Drosophila melanogaster: one gene and its partners. Changing the gene in region 1 together with any one later gene gives a genetic interaction. Each region holds a gene or a part of one and is shown on either strand. Other genes may lie near its edges.

Region 1 (4,824 bases):
AGCGCTGCCGCCTCCCCTCCCTTCACCTTTTCACTGCCACTACTCTGCTCTCACGTTCTCCGTGTTAATTTCGAATTAGTATAGCAACAATAACCGGCCGCAAGGTGTAGTGAAGATTGTTAAATTAACGGATCTTTACTCTTTATAACTTAAATTTAGTCTGCCCCCGAATAATAAATATGCCCAATTGCAGACATGAAATCTCAATTCACTAATTAATAAAATATTAGCTAAAATCCCAATTCGAATGCAACTAATGGCTGGTATTTAATTTGCAGCCATAACTGTATTCCTCTGGCATGCCAATTTACCGTTATTAATTATGAAGATCATGCATTTACATGGCTATTAATTATATACGTTGTTATGTATGCAGACTCACGCACACACAGGCATAAGCACAAGCACACGAAAACATACATATGTATGTACATGCATGCTCACTAACACCCACACAGATACCAAGAGCTAATAAAAAGTTTCGCTTTCTTTTTGCACATCATTTTGCATGCGCAGTAAAAAGGCAGGGACAAGTGAAATAAATACAAATAAATAATGTGCGAGTGTGCAAGGTGTTAAGCAACAACAATTGCAATAGAGGGAAAAAAGTGAATCAAAAGCCAGAAAAAGAGGAAGAACACGAATTTTGTGTATTAAGCGGCAGTCCAGAGAGAGAAAGAGAGAGTCTCCCACGGTGTGTGTGTGTGTTGGAGGGGGATGCTGCTAGGGAAAAGAGACTGAGAGTAAAAGCCGGCCTGAATCCGAATAACAGCTGTTACTCACAGACACAATCCACATGGAACATCTCTCTTCATCTTTTTGTTGTTGTTGGTCCCATGGATGCTTTTTTCTAGCCGGTTTTATTTTCTCTATCATCTTTATTTCATTTGGTCAATTACACACACTTGGCTTCTTTCTTATGAACCGCAAGGACCGAGACAGAAGGCAGCCACTTAATTGCACACTTACAGAAATGAAATAAGGTAATAGTAATATAAAATAAAACGGCTGTAAGCCTCGCCTTAGCTTTTTTCGTTTGAGAAAGCCAAAAATAATTGCCAACTGGCCAAGTCAAGAAAAAGAGAACGAGTAAAAGAGAAGGCGGCTTTTTGTCCAGGGAGAGGCGCACAAAATGCGTCGCAAAATATTTCGCCCACAGAAAACTGCAAACATAATGAAAGCCCGGGAAAGGAAAAATTATTGCGTGGGTGTGGAATATCAATGCCGGCAAGGAAAGCAGAATGAATTCCAGGGAAGTCCCCTTTGCGTTTCATACACCAAAATTTTGTACATAATGTACAAAACTTCATTTCGCCTGGCCATTTACGCGATGACGCATTTAGAGCCAATCGAATATTGTGTACTCACAAGGCCTGATAACAGGGGCCACACATAATGTACACACTATGTGGTGCAGTCGTCAAGTACATGCACAGATTAAAGCGGAAAACTGTTGATGCAAGTCCAATTAACCCGACGAAACTGGTAGAAGTAACCGGCAAATTCAAGACCACAGAAAATATTAAAGAGACAAATGATCTGAGATTTTAAAACATTTAGATCACTTTAATTTGTAAAACAAACACATTACCTAATTATTACATGTCTATTGAACATTTCAGTTGATATTTATGACTGCAGTGCAGCTTTAATTTTGCATTCCTCAGTATCCACGTCAACACAAAAACGCCAGTTAGTTGGCTAATATTGTGCTGGACGGTTTTACACAATTAATTTTAACTTGAAATGTATTTTTGTCCATATCTTCGAAGAAAAACCACGAGTTCTTCAAACTGTTACCTGCACTGTTGTCTTAACATCTAGTAAAATGTTAATCTGGGGGGCGCCATAAAGAAATCGCCGCCGACTTTGGGCAAATAGAAATAAAAACTGATGGACTCCGAATTTTCGATTCGTTATCTCTGAAAACTGGAGCGTTGGGGGATTGAATGAGTGAGCGAATGACTGCTATTCACCGTATCGGTTTTGGAGGTTATTAGAGGGCTTAGCCCAAAATTGAATGATTAATTGATCATCAAAGGTGAGGTGGAAACTCCCTTTGCTTCTTTTTTTTTGTCTTGTTTGAATACGCACCTAAAAATGGAATTTTTGTTGGTTTTACTTGCTTTCTATATATCACACGCAACCACAACAAATTGCTCTGCTTTTTTTTCCACCGCCGCCTGCTTCTTCTTGCTCTTTTTGAATATCACACACGTTTCATATTTGCAAATTTTTCATTTTTTTGCGGGCGTTTTGCCTTTTCTGTCGGTTACTTTTTGTATTCCACGTATAATGTGCTGCTGCTTCTTACTCGTTTGACTCAGTCTGTGTGTGTGCGAGTGTGAGTACGTCGGTGGTGTGGGAACTTTTAACTTTACTACGCGACGTTTTCGTTTCTCTTCTTTATTCTCTATATATTCTACGATTCTGTGCGTGACGTCAGCAGTTCGAGCATTTGTTGTAGATATCACATAATTGTTACACGCCCGCACTTTTATTTTATTTTATTCTTGATTTTTTAGAGCATTTGCTATTGCTACTCAGCGACTTGAATCTTTTACTTGCAGAGGCAGTCTTTTGCGGCTTTTTGGTTTTTCTCTCAGTTTTCCATTTTCACATTTTTGCGGACTGGCGACGAAAAGCGAACTGAACTTGGGCCACAAAGTGTGTTGTGCCGTGTCTTTTTTGGAGTCGCCGTCGCCGGCAAAACGCAATCCACACGCGGAGAAAGAGAATCGGAGAGACACGAGATAGAGAGAGAGAGCGAGAGAGGGAGTCGTCTTACGTCAGACGGAGAAAACGTAAGCACCACCGTAATGGCACTTTTAATACCGGCCACTTACGCTTAATTAGTGTATTAAACCACATTAACTTATCAATACCTCAGTCTTGTACTCTTTTCAGTTAGCTTTTCTATTTTTTTTCGGATTTTTCCGTCGATTTTCCCCTCGTAACGTGTTTTCTGCTCGCACATGTGTGTGGGGGCGGCAGCGGCAACAGCAGCGTCACGACGCGACAACAACACTGAACGCGGCGAATCGACAGAACAAGCAACGAGCCACAAAACGCACGGCGTCTCTTGTAGCGGCGAATTTGAGGCGTCAGCAGCTGAGCGCTCGCGGCACGAGAGAGTGAGAGCAGAAGAGAGTGGATCGTAAATTGAGTGGAGACAAAACTGATCAAACGATAGCTATTCGATATTACGATAGGTTGTCAATTCAAAAGGGAACGAATATTTTGGGTTATTAATATTTTGCAATGAATAAATACATTTGAGTGTTAAAAGAAAAATATAATTATTTATAAGCGAAGTTAAATACCTATAACAGCGCTGTTAATCACTTCCTGAATTGTTTTTTAAATGCTACATTATTTTACCTAATATCAGCTTTTAATTAAATCTTTGGTCCAAGTTTTATTTGAAGTTTTTAATTTTAAAATTCTGTTGATATAAAAACTAATGCTTGAAGCTAAGAGAACCACGCTAATTGCAGCGAATTAGCGGCAACAGCTGAGCACGAGAGAGAACGAATGTGGAGAAGGGGGCGGAAAGCGAAAGCGCAAGAGGGTGGAATGTGAGTGGCGCCGCTTCCTACTCTTCACATGTGGCATGTGGAAGCCAGACTCGAATGTTCGGTGAGAGCGGCTTTTGCTTTTGGCCCCCAACCCTTTTCGCTCTCTTCGGCTTGCCGGCTACAAATCGGCTAAAAATCGCTCAGACGGAAGTGGCGACGTCGCTGTTACCGCACCCACATCAACAGCGACGCCGGCAGAGAACCTTTCCCCTCCCGCTCAACCAACCGCTTCACCATCTTCTTTATCTTTATCAGTTGTGTGCCAAGTGTTGCATTGCGTTGCAGTGACGACATTGTTGTAGTTGCAGCAGCACAGCAGCGTTGCCGATTTTCAGCGCCCCATCAACAAGGGGTACACTTTTTAAGGCCGGAAATAGGCATTAAATGGGTCTATCGCATAACTCGACACTGTCGCACACAAATCTATTAATTTCTACGTATCATAAAAATTATGCCTGAGATTAAAGCCAAGTATGCTCATCTCACAGCTCACAGCTTAATCATATAATATACCTTAAAGATTTGCAACTTTATAGAGAAAAGTTAGTATTTAATTAAGTAAATACTAACTGAAGTGTAAAAATTCACCTATTTGCTGAGCAACTGACCTGATTAAAGAAACCTGCTCAAACATTTGACTTTCCATTCTTATATTATTTGTTATTCCACTATTAATCTACTTTAGTGCAAAAGCACTTTCTACTAAACAAACAATACTCATACATTCTGGAATAATGCAAAGTTTGTACTCATAAATATCCCAAAATCGCTACCATGTCACTTTTTCTAACAACAATCTGATTAAATATTTACAACTCATGCCCGCTGCCATTTGCATTCCTGGTTTTGTGTGCACAAATGTATCTCGCAAATCAGTACAACTTGCCAGGCGATCTGCGCAGTGTTTCCCATTCCCATAATCCCAAGCCCAGTAACTGAGAAACATCCCCCCCCCCTCCTACCAGAAATGTAATCTCCTTTCCAGTTTTCGATTTCTATTAACTTTTTAGGCAGTTTTTTTTTTTGGATTCGAGGCTGTTATCCTTTGGGTTTCTCTTGGGTGGGTTGCTGAGGCGAGGACACTCACAGATCCGTGAGTGTGATTTTTTTCACATTTCCCATAAGCCAGACCGGCAGACAAGAAGAAGAAGAAGAAGAATGAGAATACGAATATGAAGAAGAGGGGCGAGAATCACCCCTCACGGACGCAGAAAGAGAGGAAGAACTTTGGCCCCTGCGCCTGCCC
Region 2 (4,828 bases), on another chromosome or scaffold:
CAATAAACAAGCAAGTTCCGTTAAGATTTCAAAGTACGCACTGACTTTCAACTTTCAACCAACCCCCACCACGCAGCACGCAGCACCCAGCCACCTTCCACTGGCGTTCGTCCTTGTCCCACGACGGGACAATGTGTGGAGAGGGGTGGAAGGGGGGGGGGGGGGGTGATGCCAGAATAGAGAGACACACAAGGGTTGCAATCTAATGAAATAATAATAATAAAAAAGTAAATAAAGCAAGGGGCGAAGTCAACGGAACGCAGCCAAATTCGATCCTCGACGTGTGGCGTGGGTGCAACAGAGATGGCAAGAGTGGCAAGCGCGTAACGGGACACCACCACCCAAAAGCTGGAAGACAGCGGACTGGAACGTTCTCTCCCCCAACCCCTTCCATGCCAAACCATTCCCGTGCCAACGCACTCGCGAAAATAATTGAATGTAATTTTAAATGATGTTTGTGATTATATTACAAATGAAAATTGGGTTTCTTAGAAACATTCGAAAAGTATTAAAAAAGAGAATGATGATCTGCTTGTTTAGCCCCATCTCAAAATCGCTTCATTTCCTGCTTAGAAGGTATCTAATAGTCGCGACACTCGACCATTTTCATTTACTGTGCACTAAATACCATAGAATCCAAGCCAATGCGATCCCAACCATCCCAAATCGAAATGGAAAATCGCAGCATGGCAACGCACAGGACGCACACACAAAAATGCGTCGCAGTTGCCGCTGGGGGTGGGTGGTGGCTCTTCCTTTCCCATTTCCATTCCCTTTCCCTGCGCCTTTCCCTTTACCATTAGCGTTAAACCCTCCCAGCTCGTATCCTCGTCCCTTTTTTTTGGACTAGGCTAGGGCTAGAGCCCAGACTGAGAGTTCAGAACTCACAGCCAGCCGGCTGTAAACATTCCTGACAGACGCAGGAACGCAGCAACGCATCGCAACCACACAGCGCACATTCAGCAACAGCGATGGTGGTGGTGGCAAGCAAATTATGAGATTTTCAGGGGTTCAACAGCCTCCTAGAAATGTACGGGACAACTAAAGTATTCCATCAATGCATTGAAAGAATTCTTCAAGTCTGCCATCAGAGCTATATCTATACAATGGTACTACAAAATAGATCCCTAAGTATATGCTAATATAGATAGTCAGAGGTAGAAAGATGTATATCCTTGAAAGATCTATCTAAATGATTGTTGTATCTTAACAAATATGGCTTGAAGTTAAAGAACTTAACAGTTCGTTCGCCTTACTTCTGCACTCCGTAATCTTCTAGTTTAAGCTTAAAGTTGCAGCTCAGCATTGAGATCTTGGATGGAAAGTGCATGGGCATGGGCCTGGAACCACTGCCATTGTGCACCCATGTCCAGGGGCGTAGGGCCACATCCTCGACCTTGTCCTTGTCCCGTATTTTGGGGTTGAAAAACTACGCAAGTTTCGCTCGAAATTCGAAAACGGGACGCAATCGCTTAGTGTGTGCGTGCGATATGGTATGGGTGTAGACTCTCTGTGTGTGTGTGTGTGTGTGTGTGTGGGCTGAGTTGGGTTGGTAACAGTCGGATATATATGTACATACTTATATATATTTTATGTTTGTTGCTGCTCTGGGGTGCGCATCAGATTTAGCTGAACGAAGGAAGGAAGCATCGACAAAAAAGAGGAACGGGAAAATGTAGGAGAGCAGGAAGTAGAAATTTCGTTGGCAGCAAGGTCAGCGAGAGAGGGAGATGGCAGGAGTGAGGGAAACAGAGATGGAGAAGGCACAGTCTTAGATCGAAACACGATTGTGAGCTGCAGACTTTTCCAAGTCCCCGGAATCGCTATTCGCAGCTCACTTCCCTCGTGTTAACCTCATTGCGTCCAATCTAGTTGGAAAATCCCGTTGAGGTATCAAGTACTGTTTATAGAAATGTATCTTTCATAACACTATCATAACAATTGAATACTACACTCTCTAACTCGTCGTTCGAAAACAAACTTATGATTATAAAGGCCATAGTAACAAAGAAGCCGCAACGCAAGTCGTAAAATGCATTGCATACTTTCTGGAGTCGAAAAGTGCCACAATTAATATATGCAATCTAAACAATGGGATTGGGAAAAGAAAATAATTTATATAATTCTATTATAAGCCAAAATAATAGCTTTATTGATATCTATGCATAATCGCAATTTACAAATGCCAATAACTTGGCTCACAAGTGGCAATCGTGAGTGGAATCGAATTCACAATTTCCCCGAAAGACATTTTCCGTTCTCTTGTTTTCCTCATGTCTTAAAATTATAGTCTTGCCTTTTGTCAAGCAGCTGTGGCAGTTTGAATTTTCCTGACATTTTCACGAGCCAGTAGACAAAACAGACGGGGCGATAAAAGGGCGCAAAGGAGAGCGAAGAGGAGCGGAGAAGAGAGAAAAGTGGAGAGAAGAGCGATGAGCGAAGAGAGAGCGGGAAAAACGCTGGCGTCTCTGCTCGGGCCACCCTTGTTTTCAGAGTTTTTCCCCGAGTTTTCCGCTTGGTACTATGAGTTTTCGCTTTTCACATTTCACACTCACCCCCGTCGCAGCTGCGTCGACGTCAACGTCAGCGTCAGCGTCGACAGCGCTGCCAACAGCTAGCCGGTCCAAGCCAATCAGATGGAAAATATTCGTTTATCCGTTGCGTTTTTCGATGTTTTTCCTTTTTGGGTCGGGAAAACCTTTTGCATAGGGCGACCAGCAGTGCAAAGTACAGGTCCAACAGCTGGCACAGTGATCACCAGATGAAATAGAACAGATCAACAGAAATCATCGATCATTAAATCGGAATAGAAATGAAATTAGAAGTTAGCTATATAAATATGTAACGTATCTAAGCAAGGCCTAAAATGTATGTTAAATATATTTTGATTACCTATAGTAACTTAATAATACATTTGGCAATGTATACTGGCATAAATTAATAGTTAGCTTATTCGATTTCTTAACCTTAGATCATTTATAGTGGTCGCCGACTTTTTAGAGTGAGTGTGGTGTAAGCCGGCTGCTGCCCTTTAAAGCGGATAATGTGTATAGACGCTTGCACACAGATACAGATACGAGTACAGACACAGATACAGATACAAATATGCCAAGGAGCAGGGTCAGCCATTTTGGTTTACAACTTTCACTGTTTTGGATGGGTGGGAAAATGCGACGCCAACGCCAACGCCGCTGCTACAGCGCCGCGGCAGAGGTCCTGAGAGCAGAGCAGAGCTGAACAGAGTTTTCCTCGCATTTTCATCGGGCGCTGAGCAGACACCTTGGAAATTGGGATCCGTATATCCGGCAGGCAGGCAGTTCACTCGTCGCCGTTGCGTCAGTTCGTTCGACTCTCGACTCTCAGCTCACAGTTCGCAGTTAAATAGTTAATAGTCAATAGCTCACGCCGAACAGCTATCGAGATATTAGTGTTTTGGATTCAGATTCAGATTCAGATTCAGATACGGATACGGATTCAAACGGCGCCGCCATTTGTGATTTTTGTTGTTTTTTCTTGTATGAGCAAAAAGTGACAAAGCACAAAAAAAAAGAAAAAAAAAGATAAAAACCAGTGAAAAGCCAAAGGAAAAGCGCAAAGAAAAGTGAAAAATCATCATAAAATAACAAACAAAAATTCGACGAGAATTCTTGAGGTTTACCAAATACACCAAAGTGTAAGTGTAAGAAAGAGAAAGGAGATACCAACCAAGCCATAGAGAGAGAAGGTGAGGGAGAGAGAGAGTAAGGGAGTGGGAATAGGAGGGAGTGTTTTTCCAGCCTTGCTTTGTACGCACTCACTCACGCATCTGCTGCCGTCTCGCTCGCACCCACACAATCCAACGCCCACCCACGGCAACCCACACACAGAGTTGTCACCTACACAAAAATCAATAACGAAACCCAATAAAATAAAATCCACAACGACAGCGAAAACAAGCCCAAAAAGAAAATGTTACTTCCTGTCTAAATCAATCAATGGAAAAATCAATTGCGAACTCATTAAGGATGCTAGATTTTGATTCCAAGTAATTCTTATGGCATTTGAAAACTAGCTATAGATTGCATAAAAACTAGATTTCTTAGGGATTAACTATAATTTTCTTTTAATGCTTTAGGCTATGGACGGTAATAGGTTATGTAGAAAGTATTGTAGTATTGCAAATATAACCCATTATTGAATATCCCAAATCACACACACCATTGGCTTTGCTGTCAATCGCAAATGTCTAAAAGCCCCATACAAATTTCACTTTTCCCACTATTCAGTTTCAAATTTTTTCTCGCTCAATATAAAAAAAAAATCAAAAATTTACCCAAAATCAAAAATATACACTCACACAGTCCATAACAAGACAAGACACCGGAAAACAACAGGCAACACACCCATATTAAAGCCAAAAAAAAAGGAATCTAAGAAAGGCCAAAGGAAAGGCGAAAGACCAGACAATTTTGTTTAAACTACGTACTAGGTAGAGATATTTATAATCTGGAGAATTCCGATCAATTGGAATATTGTAGCCCAGAGAATATCGATCCTCTCGAGAAAAATTCACCGACCTCACTTTCCAATTCTAAAGCCTGAAATCTTGATGTTGAACCCACACAATTGGCAACTTAATTGAATCAAGAGCCTGCAAAGGACTGAGATCTCTGGAGCAAGAATCAGGCACCTTTATCTCAAGCAATTTCAACAGACATCCTATCCAAATCTCGAGAATAAGCAGTGCACTTGCGTCCCATTGAAAGTGTAAGTATCCTTTTCTGTCAGGATATTGAAACGGGTCCTCGAAAAATGTTACCTTGCTATAGTTCCGTAACGAACTCAATAT
Region 3 (7,628 bases), about 13 Mb from region 1:
CAGGCAACTTGCCAATTCTTATCAATGGAGCTAACTCAAAAAGTGATATCAGTAAGTAAATAAATCTTAATTGAACATATTTATGAAAAGATAATAGGGCGCCAAGGAATTAGTAAACGTTGGTGCTTTACAGCGTTATCGGACACGATCTGCCAATCCCAAAAAAATCACCTGTTACACCAAATGCAGAAAAAATTAAAAACAACCATGCGAGTTCTTTTTCTCATTTGCTAAATTATTAAGCTTTAGTTTAGCAAACTTGTTTTTTTTTTGTTTTAATTACTTGTTTGTGTTGGTTTCTTGTTTCATATAGTACATTCTATCTCGATCTATATATTTAATAATATATATACCATTACTATTTTTATGTTTTCTTCGTTTAAAATCATCAATTGAAGTTCAAGGATTTGCGCTTTCATCGTTTCGATCCGACATTGACAATATTTATGTCTAGATATATATATATATATATATAAGAATACATATATATATATATATATATATGTATATTAAGAGTTCCAAGAAAAATGATGTGTGAGAATTGTAACTTATGGACAAAAATTCAAAAATTTTATCATTTGCTTAAATATTCTTAATATTTGTGGTTGTTTAGCATATTTTAAATATGTATGTGTTTGCTTGCATATCCTTCAACTACGCGCATCGAATTCATAAAATATAATGATGGGTGAGATGGAAATGGAGGGCGGCTTGGGCTGGCTATACATGAATGTAATATACTTTCGCGATGGACTTGCACAGTTTATTATTAACGCTTGCTCCTGGTTTTTGAGGTTGTGAGAGAGGAGTGAATTGCTAAACGAGGGTGGGGTGGAGGGTGCATCTGTGTATCTTTTCTGTATTTTCGTGATTTGTGTTGCGCTGCGCACAGACAGTTTCTCTTTCACATTTGCTGTTCCTATATAGTATACGTGTGTACACATATATAGTTGTTATCGACTTTGTTTTACTCCGTTTGGTTATTTGCGAAAGTGGCTACGATGCGACTGCTGATGCTGCTGCTGCTGCTGGCCCAGGTCCTTTGCCTGAAGCTGAGGCCTTGCTCATTGAGCCCACCAGTCGGGTGCGTTCGAAGAGTGCGAGGCACTGCCGCCGCCGTAGGAGCCGCCATAGGAGCCACCACCGGCGCCGCCGCCATAGTATCCACCGCCGCCCGAATTGCCGCCTGTAAAGGAAATCCACTGTTAAGTTTCTGCCTTTAAACTGATTACTGCTGATGGATGATTCCACACTCACCAAACTTACCGTACGAGTTTCCATTGCTGCGGTAACTGCCGCCGCCGCCTCCTGATCCGGAACCACCGCTACGTGGTGGCGGTCCACTGCGTCCGCCACCGCCGCCGCCAGAGCTTTGACGGTAATCCCTGGAGCCGAAGCCGCCACCATAACGTCCACCACCGCCTCGTCCAGCCCGCTTGGCTCCGCCATGTCCGCGATCCGAACTCATATCCTCCATGAAACTGGGGATCTCCTGCTTCGTTTCGATCAGCAGCTCCAAGAGATCGGAGCAAATGTTGCGGTTCTTTTCGTTGAAAAAGGAGGTGGCCACACCAAGATTACCCATACGTCCGGTACGCCCGATACGGTGGACATACTCCTCCACATCCGAGGGCAGGTCAAAGTTAATAACGTGCTTAACGTGCGGAATGTCCAGGCCACGAGCGGCCACGGCTGTGGCCACCAGGATGGGGCAGTCGCCCGATCGGAAGCAGCGCAGTGCCTCCTCGCGCTCCTTCTGCGTGCGATCACCGTGGATGCTAGTGACGGGATGATTGCACTGGTACAGGAACTCCTCCAGCGAGTCTGCACCCTTCTTAGTCTCCACAAAGATCAGTGTTAGGCTGTCTTTGGTGTATTCGGGGCCATCGCGGATAGACGAGAGCAGATCCAGCAGATACGAGCGCTTGTCGGGTTCATAGACCCACAGGATTGTCTGCGTAATGTTCTCAGATGTGGAGCCCACACGACCAACGGCCAAGAAAATGTAGTTGCTGAGGAAATCGCTGGCTAACTCCTGGATCTGCTTGGGGAATGTGGCCGAGAACATAAGCGTCTGGCGCTGTCCGGTTGGCGGCATGTTTAGCTGTTCGACGATGCGACGGATCTGCGGCTCGAAACCCATGTCCAACATACGATCAGCCTCATCCAGTACAAGGAATCGAATGTTCTCCAGTCCCACCTTTCCGCGTGTGATCATGTCCTCTAGGCGACCGGGTGTGGCCACAATCAGATGGCAACCGCGGTCCAGCTCGCGCATCTGCTCGCTAGTATTGTTTCCGCCGTACAGCACTGCCGGGCGCATCCGGGAGCGATAGGCGAACTTCTTGGCCTCCTCAAAGATCTGGGTGGCCAGTTCGCGGGTCGGCGCCAGCACCAGACCCAACGGATACTGCTTGCGCCGGCTGTACTGCCGGGTGCTTTGCGGCGGGGGCACATGTCCCAGCTCGTACATCTGGTTGAGAATCGGCACCAGGAAGGCGGCCGTCTTGCCGGATCCAGTCTGGGCGCAGGCCATTAGATCCCGGCCATTGATAATGATCGGAATGGCGTGCTTCTGCACCGGTGTCGGTTTGTCATAACGTGCTAAGGCCACGTTGTTGCGGATAATCTCCGTCAGCTGCACATCATCGAACGATGTGATGTTCGGGGGCACATTCTGGCCCGTCGCCTCCACGGGTATATCCTCGTATTTGTCAAAATTGATTCCCGTATTGCCCACGCCGAACAGCTCCACCTCCAGGCGCTCATCTCGGGCGCCCAGCTTTGTGTAGTCGACGTTTGAGCCGCCGCCCTCCTTCCAGCGGCTGTTGTAACCGCCGCCTCCGCGCTCGCCGCGATTGTTGTAGCTTCTGTTGCCGCCGGCAGACTGTCCGCCCTCGCTGCCATCGAATCCGGCAGGACGTTCTGGCTCCTGCCAACGATCGTTGCGCGGCTGCTGCTGCTGCTGTGCCTGGCCATCCTCGGCAGTCTGCTCGTTGAGGTTGCTACCGCTTCCGCCGCCACCGCCGCGGTACGATGGTCCGCGTCCAAATCCTCGACCTCCTCCGCCGCCTCCGCCGCTGCGATTCCAGTCACCGCCGCGACGCGAATCGAATTCACCACCTGCAAAAGTAATTACATTTTCTCTAATAATATGGGCATATTAGAGGACCAAGTATAAGTCGTACGCATTACGATTTTAAGGATCATTACATTATGGAGCTGTAAAAATTAATTAAATGTCCTTGTGCTTCTTGATAGTGAATAGACCACCTGTTAGCCAATAGTACCCACCGTTGTAGTTGTCCTCGAAACGTCCACCGCCTCCACGTCGTCCTCCGCCGCCGCTTCCGTAACCGTAGTCGCCGCTCTGGCGATTGAAGCCGCGACCACCACCGCCGCCGCCTCTGCGGTATTCGCCTCCGCCTCCGCGCGACTGTTGAGGGTCCCTAGTCTCCTGGCGCGGATTCCCGGATCTGGAGTCGAAGCCCTGACCCTGGCCCTGTCCTTGGCCCTGGCTCTCTGCGTCCGCTGCGTTGTTATTGCCACCACCACCACGAAGGTGCGGGGGCACATACACACCACCGGTGACCGAGTTAGTGGAAGTCTTGCTGGTTATGGGGCCGCTGTAGTCAGCAGAGCCGCCATTCAAGTCCAGACCAGCAACCTGCAAGTGATAAAGATTAAATGGTTAGTCTTCTTCAGAACTTGTGCAAAAAATGTGGCATCAAATGTGGTTTCCTAACACTTAAATTATAGGTTTTGTTCTATTTTTTTTGTACTTAATCATTGGTTTAAGATTACTTTTCTTTGTTATATACCAAGTTTACGGGAACACAGTGCATTTAATGATAAGATCTATACCAGCAATGCAAAACTAAGCTACACAAATAATCTTTGCTCCACTAATACAATTGATTTATAGTACACATGGCCAATTAACATATGTTGCCTGTAAGTTAGCCGGCACCAGTTCAAGAATCAAGTTCAACAGTTTGGCAAAAGATTCGCCGGGGAAATTTTCTCCAGAACTGCCAAAATGAATTCGTTCCCGCTTAGCAACATGTGCTATTTACCGCTCTTCCTCTTAGCAACGCAACGTGTATATATACATAGATACATATGTATGTACGTGCAAATCTCCGGAATACACAGATAGAGAGAGGCGCAACTAGTTTAAAGCTTCGAATTTAGTGCTCTCCCTGTAAGCGTCTCTCTCGCACTCGCAGGCAAGCTATTACACAAAGAGAGTCCGCCTGGTAACCCAACAAAAACAACACGTGAACGAGCCACCCACACATGGGAAAACAAATCGCACCGTAGGGGCAAAACACAAAGCCCGGTTGCGGGACCCAAGTGGACAGAATGGTGATGAAAGCAAGGGAACTCTTTCAAGAACTAGTTTAAATGTATACAATGATTATTATTCCCGTATATCTTGTAATATTCAATATTTTGCCTTCTTCATTTATATTAATTAACAAAGGCAGCTAAATATGTAATTCGCAGATTTTGTGGGGCGTCACTTAACGGCTAGATCGTTGCTAGATTCATTGCGTGCATTTGAGGCATACAGAAATAGTAGTATTTAACTAAACTATTTCCATTTGAAAGCATTAACGTTTGTTTATTTCACATCTCTAATAAAGTTTAATTCTTTTTAAGGACCTAACAAAGGCTTGTTAAAATAGTGTATGTAGATTACATGCTTTGCTTTTCTTCCATTTTTTTTTGCCAAATCACCCTTGAAATTAATCACCAGATCGCTTACTCCTGGCAACCCTATTTACAACAGCTTCCACATGTGTGAGCAAGCGAGAGAGAGCGAGATATAACACACACACACGACCAGCCTTAGAACAGCGGCACTGCTCGCACACACGACACACTCAACGTGAGAGGCCGAATGGAAACTTTCATATGTATATATTATACATGTCAAATTGGAGGCAAGCGAGCAAAAATTATACAAAAGAAATTACAAATTGGAATGACGAAGAGGGACCCAGGCGCACACACACACGCACATATATGCAAGCCATTGACACCGACACAATTCACCGTTGTAAAACGAGCGATAGAGACATTAGTGTGTTATGAAATCAATAAATTTCTAGGCGAACTTTTTCAAATAGCCGCATGAGCATCACGAACACACACACACAGCCACCGCATACACATGCGTGTTCCATTCTTATATAGATGGTAAATGGTATTTTCAGCAGTTAAAAACGCTACTTACTTGCTGCTCTAGACCTGTGCCATTTTGGTTAATAGCATTACTCATATTATCCTCCAATCAGTTGCTTTTTTTTTCTTGCTTTCCGTTTAGGAAAATTTTGCAATGGTTACGCTTTGAATTTTTTTTTTTGAATGCACACTTGCAATTTGCGACAAAAAAATGTATACGATCGTTGTGTTGGTGTTGCACTTTGTGTCTATACGTTTTTCCTTAGTTTTTCCGACAAAAAACTTCTTACGTTCCACAAGCTACTGCGTTCTCGTGTGAAATTTCAGGGTTCTTTTCGTTCCTCGCACACAATTCCCTTTGTTCGGCTTGAAACTGAGACGTTTCCGTATCGGATTTGGCTGGCCTGCTTGTGCCAACAATTACAATTACAAGCGCTATGGGCTTGGAAAATGCTGCTTCTCCGACGAGTTCACGTTTTTTTCCGCTTTCAGACGCGTGTCTAAAAAATCAGGGCTGCTTTAGCACGTATATCGATGAGGAATCGATAGATGCGGTCGGTGGAGGTAGAGCAGAGACTCCAACCTGGGCTCTCGGCGGCGGTTACTGGCAAAGACTCCGGCAAGGGCGTTGCCAGATCTATATCCTCGTCTCGCGGTCTATGAAATTCAAATTGAATTTTTTCACTTTTGCTTTTTCGGCGCGTCGATCCCTTCTAGGCTGTTGTTGTTTTTTGAATGGAAGAGAAATGAGGCTGGGCAGTTAAATTTTGTTTCTTAAAGGCCAAAAATGTTTGTGTTTATGTTTAGGAATAGTTGTTTATAAGGCGTCAGCCGCTGTACCCCATTTCGTTATTTGAAGCAAAAGTCAAAGAAATTCAAATTAAATTTGAAATTTAGTATATATATGTGATTGCCGTAAAATAGGTATTAAAAATTTCCAAACAATTCCATACTCAAGTTCCCTCCAAGTCTGTTAAAGAAAACTAAAATTCGAAGTTTCGAACTCTGGAATATATTCATTCACTTTCGTCTTCAGAATATACATATTGTGAATGTACATGTTTATATAGAATAAATGCTTTTGGTATTGGCCTTAGCTTGAGATTAGTTAGTGGAACAATAAATATGGCTATAAAGTATCGTATATATGTATATAATAATAATTTTCATATCGTTCAGCCCTTGAGCAGGCAGCGGGAGTAGAACTCCCGGTCGATAGCGTCGTTTGGAATGTATGAGCTCCACTTGAAGATCAGCGCCAGCGTGTCCCCGGCGGACATGTGATCCAGAGCGATGTTGAGGAAACAGTTCCAGTTGTAGAAGAAGTGGCGTCCCAACTGTTCCTGTTCCACGCCAGATATGCACTCGCAGTTGGCGCACACCAGTCGTCCGCCGCGTTGCAGTTCCACGAACTGTTCGAAGCAGCGGCCCCATGCGCTCACGCTCAGTTGTTTGCCCACGTCAGCCAGAAGTTCGGGGAGTCCGTAGTTGAGGACGATGGCCACCACTTTGGTGAGATTCTGTTCGGCTAGGTAAAATTTAGCTAAGACGTCTAATAGTGCCGGCACTGATTGAACAACATCAAAGCACTTCAGTTGCTCGCCACGGGACCAGAAGTATCGCAGGAGCACTGCTCCAAGCTCATGATACTGGCAGGAGGTATCGAAGCGAAGGGGGAACGAGCAATGCTCACACTTGACAATCTCCGCATTTTGCGAAGTATTTAGCAGCACAAATCCGGCAGCTATGTGATCCCGCGTAGCGTCGTCCACTTCCCAGATCATCTCCGGATCCAGGTAATCGAAATACATCTCGTAGCAATTGCGTTGCGCTTGGTCAGGCGTATCCCCATGCTCTACCATCACCTGGGCTAGTTTCTCGAGCAGATTCACCAGCTCGCCAGCTGCATACTCGTCGAAGACAGCGCGATAACGATCGACGCACTGCGTCCGGCTAAACTTGGCGCTCTTGGCGATCAGGTAGAGGTTGTAAAGAGTCTTCTCCTCGGGACTGATGTGGGGAACCTGGGGAGCCGGTTTCTTACAGCGCCTAACAATTTCCTCCTCCTGATCCTCGCTTCCCGACTCGTAGCGTGCTTTGATGTCCTTGAACGGCAGAGAACGCTCGCTGGCTGGAATTAGTTCCCTGACCAACTGCTGCTGTTCCTCGGCAAAAATATTGAACTTGTATTTTATGATGTTCTTGCCGAATTTACCAGTTACCGTCAGCAGCGCATCCTTGAAGTGTCCCGTTTTGAGAGGCTGCTTCAAGTTGTCGCAGAATGCGTTTTCCAGCACGTACACTCCCTTCGGCGGAGCTCTCGATGAACTTCCGCCGCTCAAACTGCGTTCAGTGGTGGCTGAACTGCCTCCCGAGCTGTGCGTATCCAAAGCACTGCCTGTGCACTGAGTTATGGCATCAAATATCACGGATATATC

The links.
Region 2: of E2f1 (region 1) and Imp, changing one enhances a phenotype caused by changing the other (phenotypic enhancement), as found in Drosophila melanogaster (one study listed by BioGRID).
Region 3: of E2f1 (region 1) and bel, changing one suppresses a phenotype caused by changing the other (phenotypic suppression), as found in Drosophila melanogaster (2 studies listed by BioGRID).

What each region holds. Positions count from the first base shown.
Region 1 is NT_033777.3:21,630,039-21,634,862, forward strand, and holds the start of E2f1 (E2F transcription factor 1), read right to left. Parts: upstream 3,036-4,824; 5' UTR 2,886-3,035; exon of another isoform or gene 2,095-2,885; intron 1-2,094. UniProt on the Drosophila melanogaster protein: Transcriptional activator that binds to E2f sites. Required for wild-type growth in mitotic and polytene tissues, Contributes to the expression of replication genes at the G1-S transition and Cyclin E.
Region 2 is NC_004354.4:10,821,237-10,826,064, reverse strand, and holds the start of Imp (IGF-II mRNA-binding protein), read left to right. Parts: upstream 1-1,787; 5' UTR 1,788-1,890; intron 1,891-3,278; exon of another isoform or gene 3,279-3,673; intron 3,674-4,247; exon of another isoform or gene 4,248-4,746; intron 4,747-4,828.
Region 3 is NT_033777.3:8,654,721-8,662,348, forward strand, and holds bel (belle), read right to left. Parts: upstream 6,042-7,628; 5' UTR 5,288-6,041; coding exon 5,243-5,287; intron 3,668-5,242; coding exon 3,295-3,667; intron 3,124-3,294; coding exon 1,258-3,123; intron 1,187-1,257; coding exon 1,065-1,186; 3' UTR 255-1,064; downstream 1-254. Other genes in the region: p (pink), read right to left, coding at 6,366-7,628. UniProt on the Drosophila melanogaster protein: ATP-dependent RNA helicase that is essential and required for cellular function, larval growth, and for male and female fertility.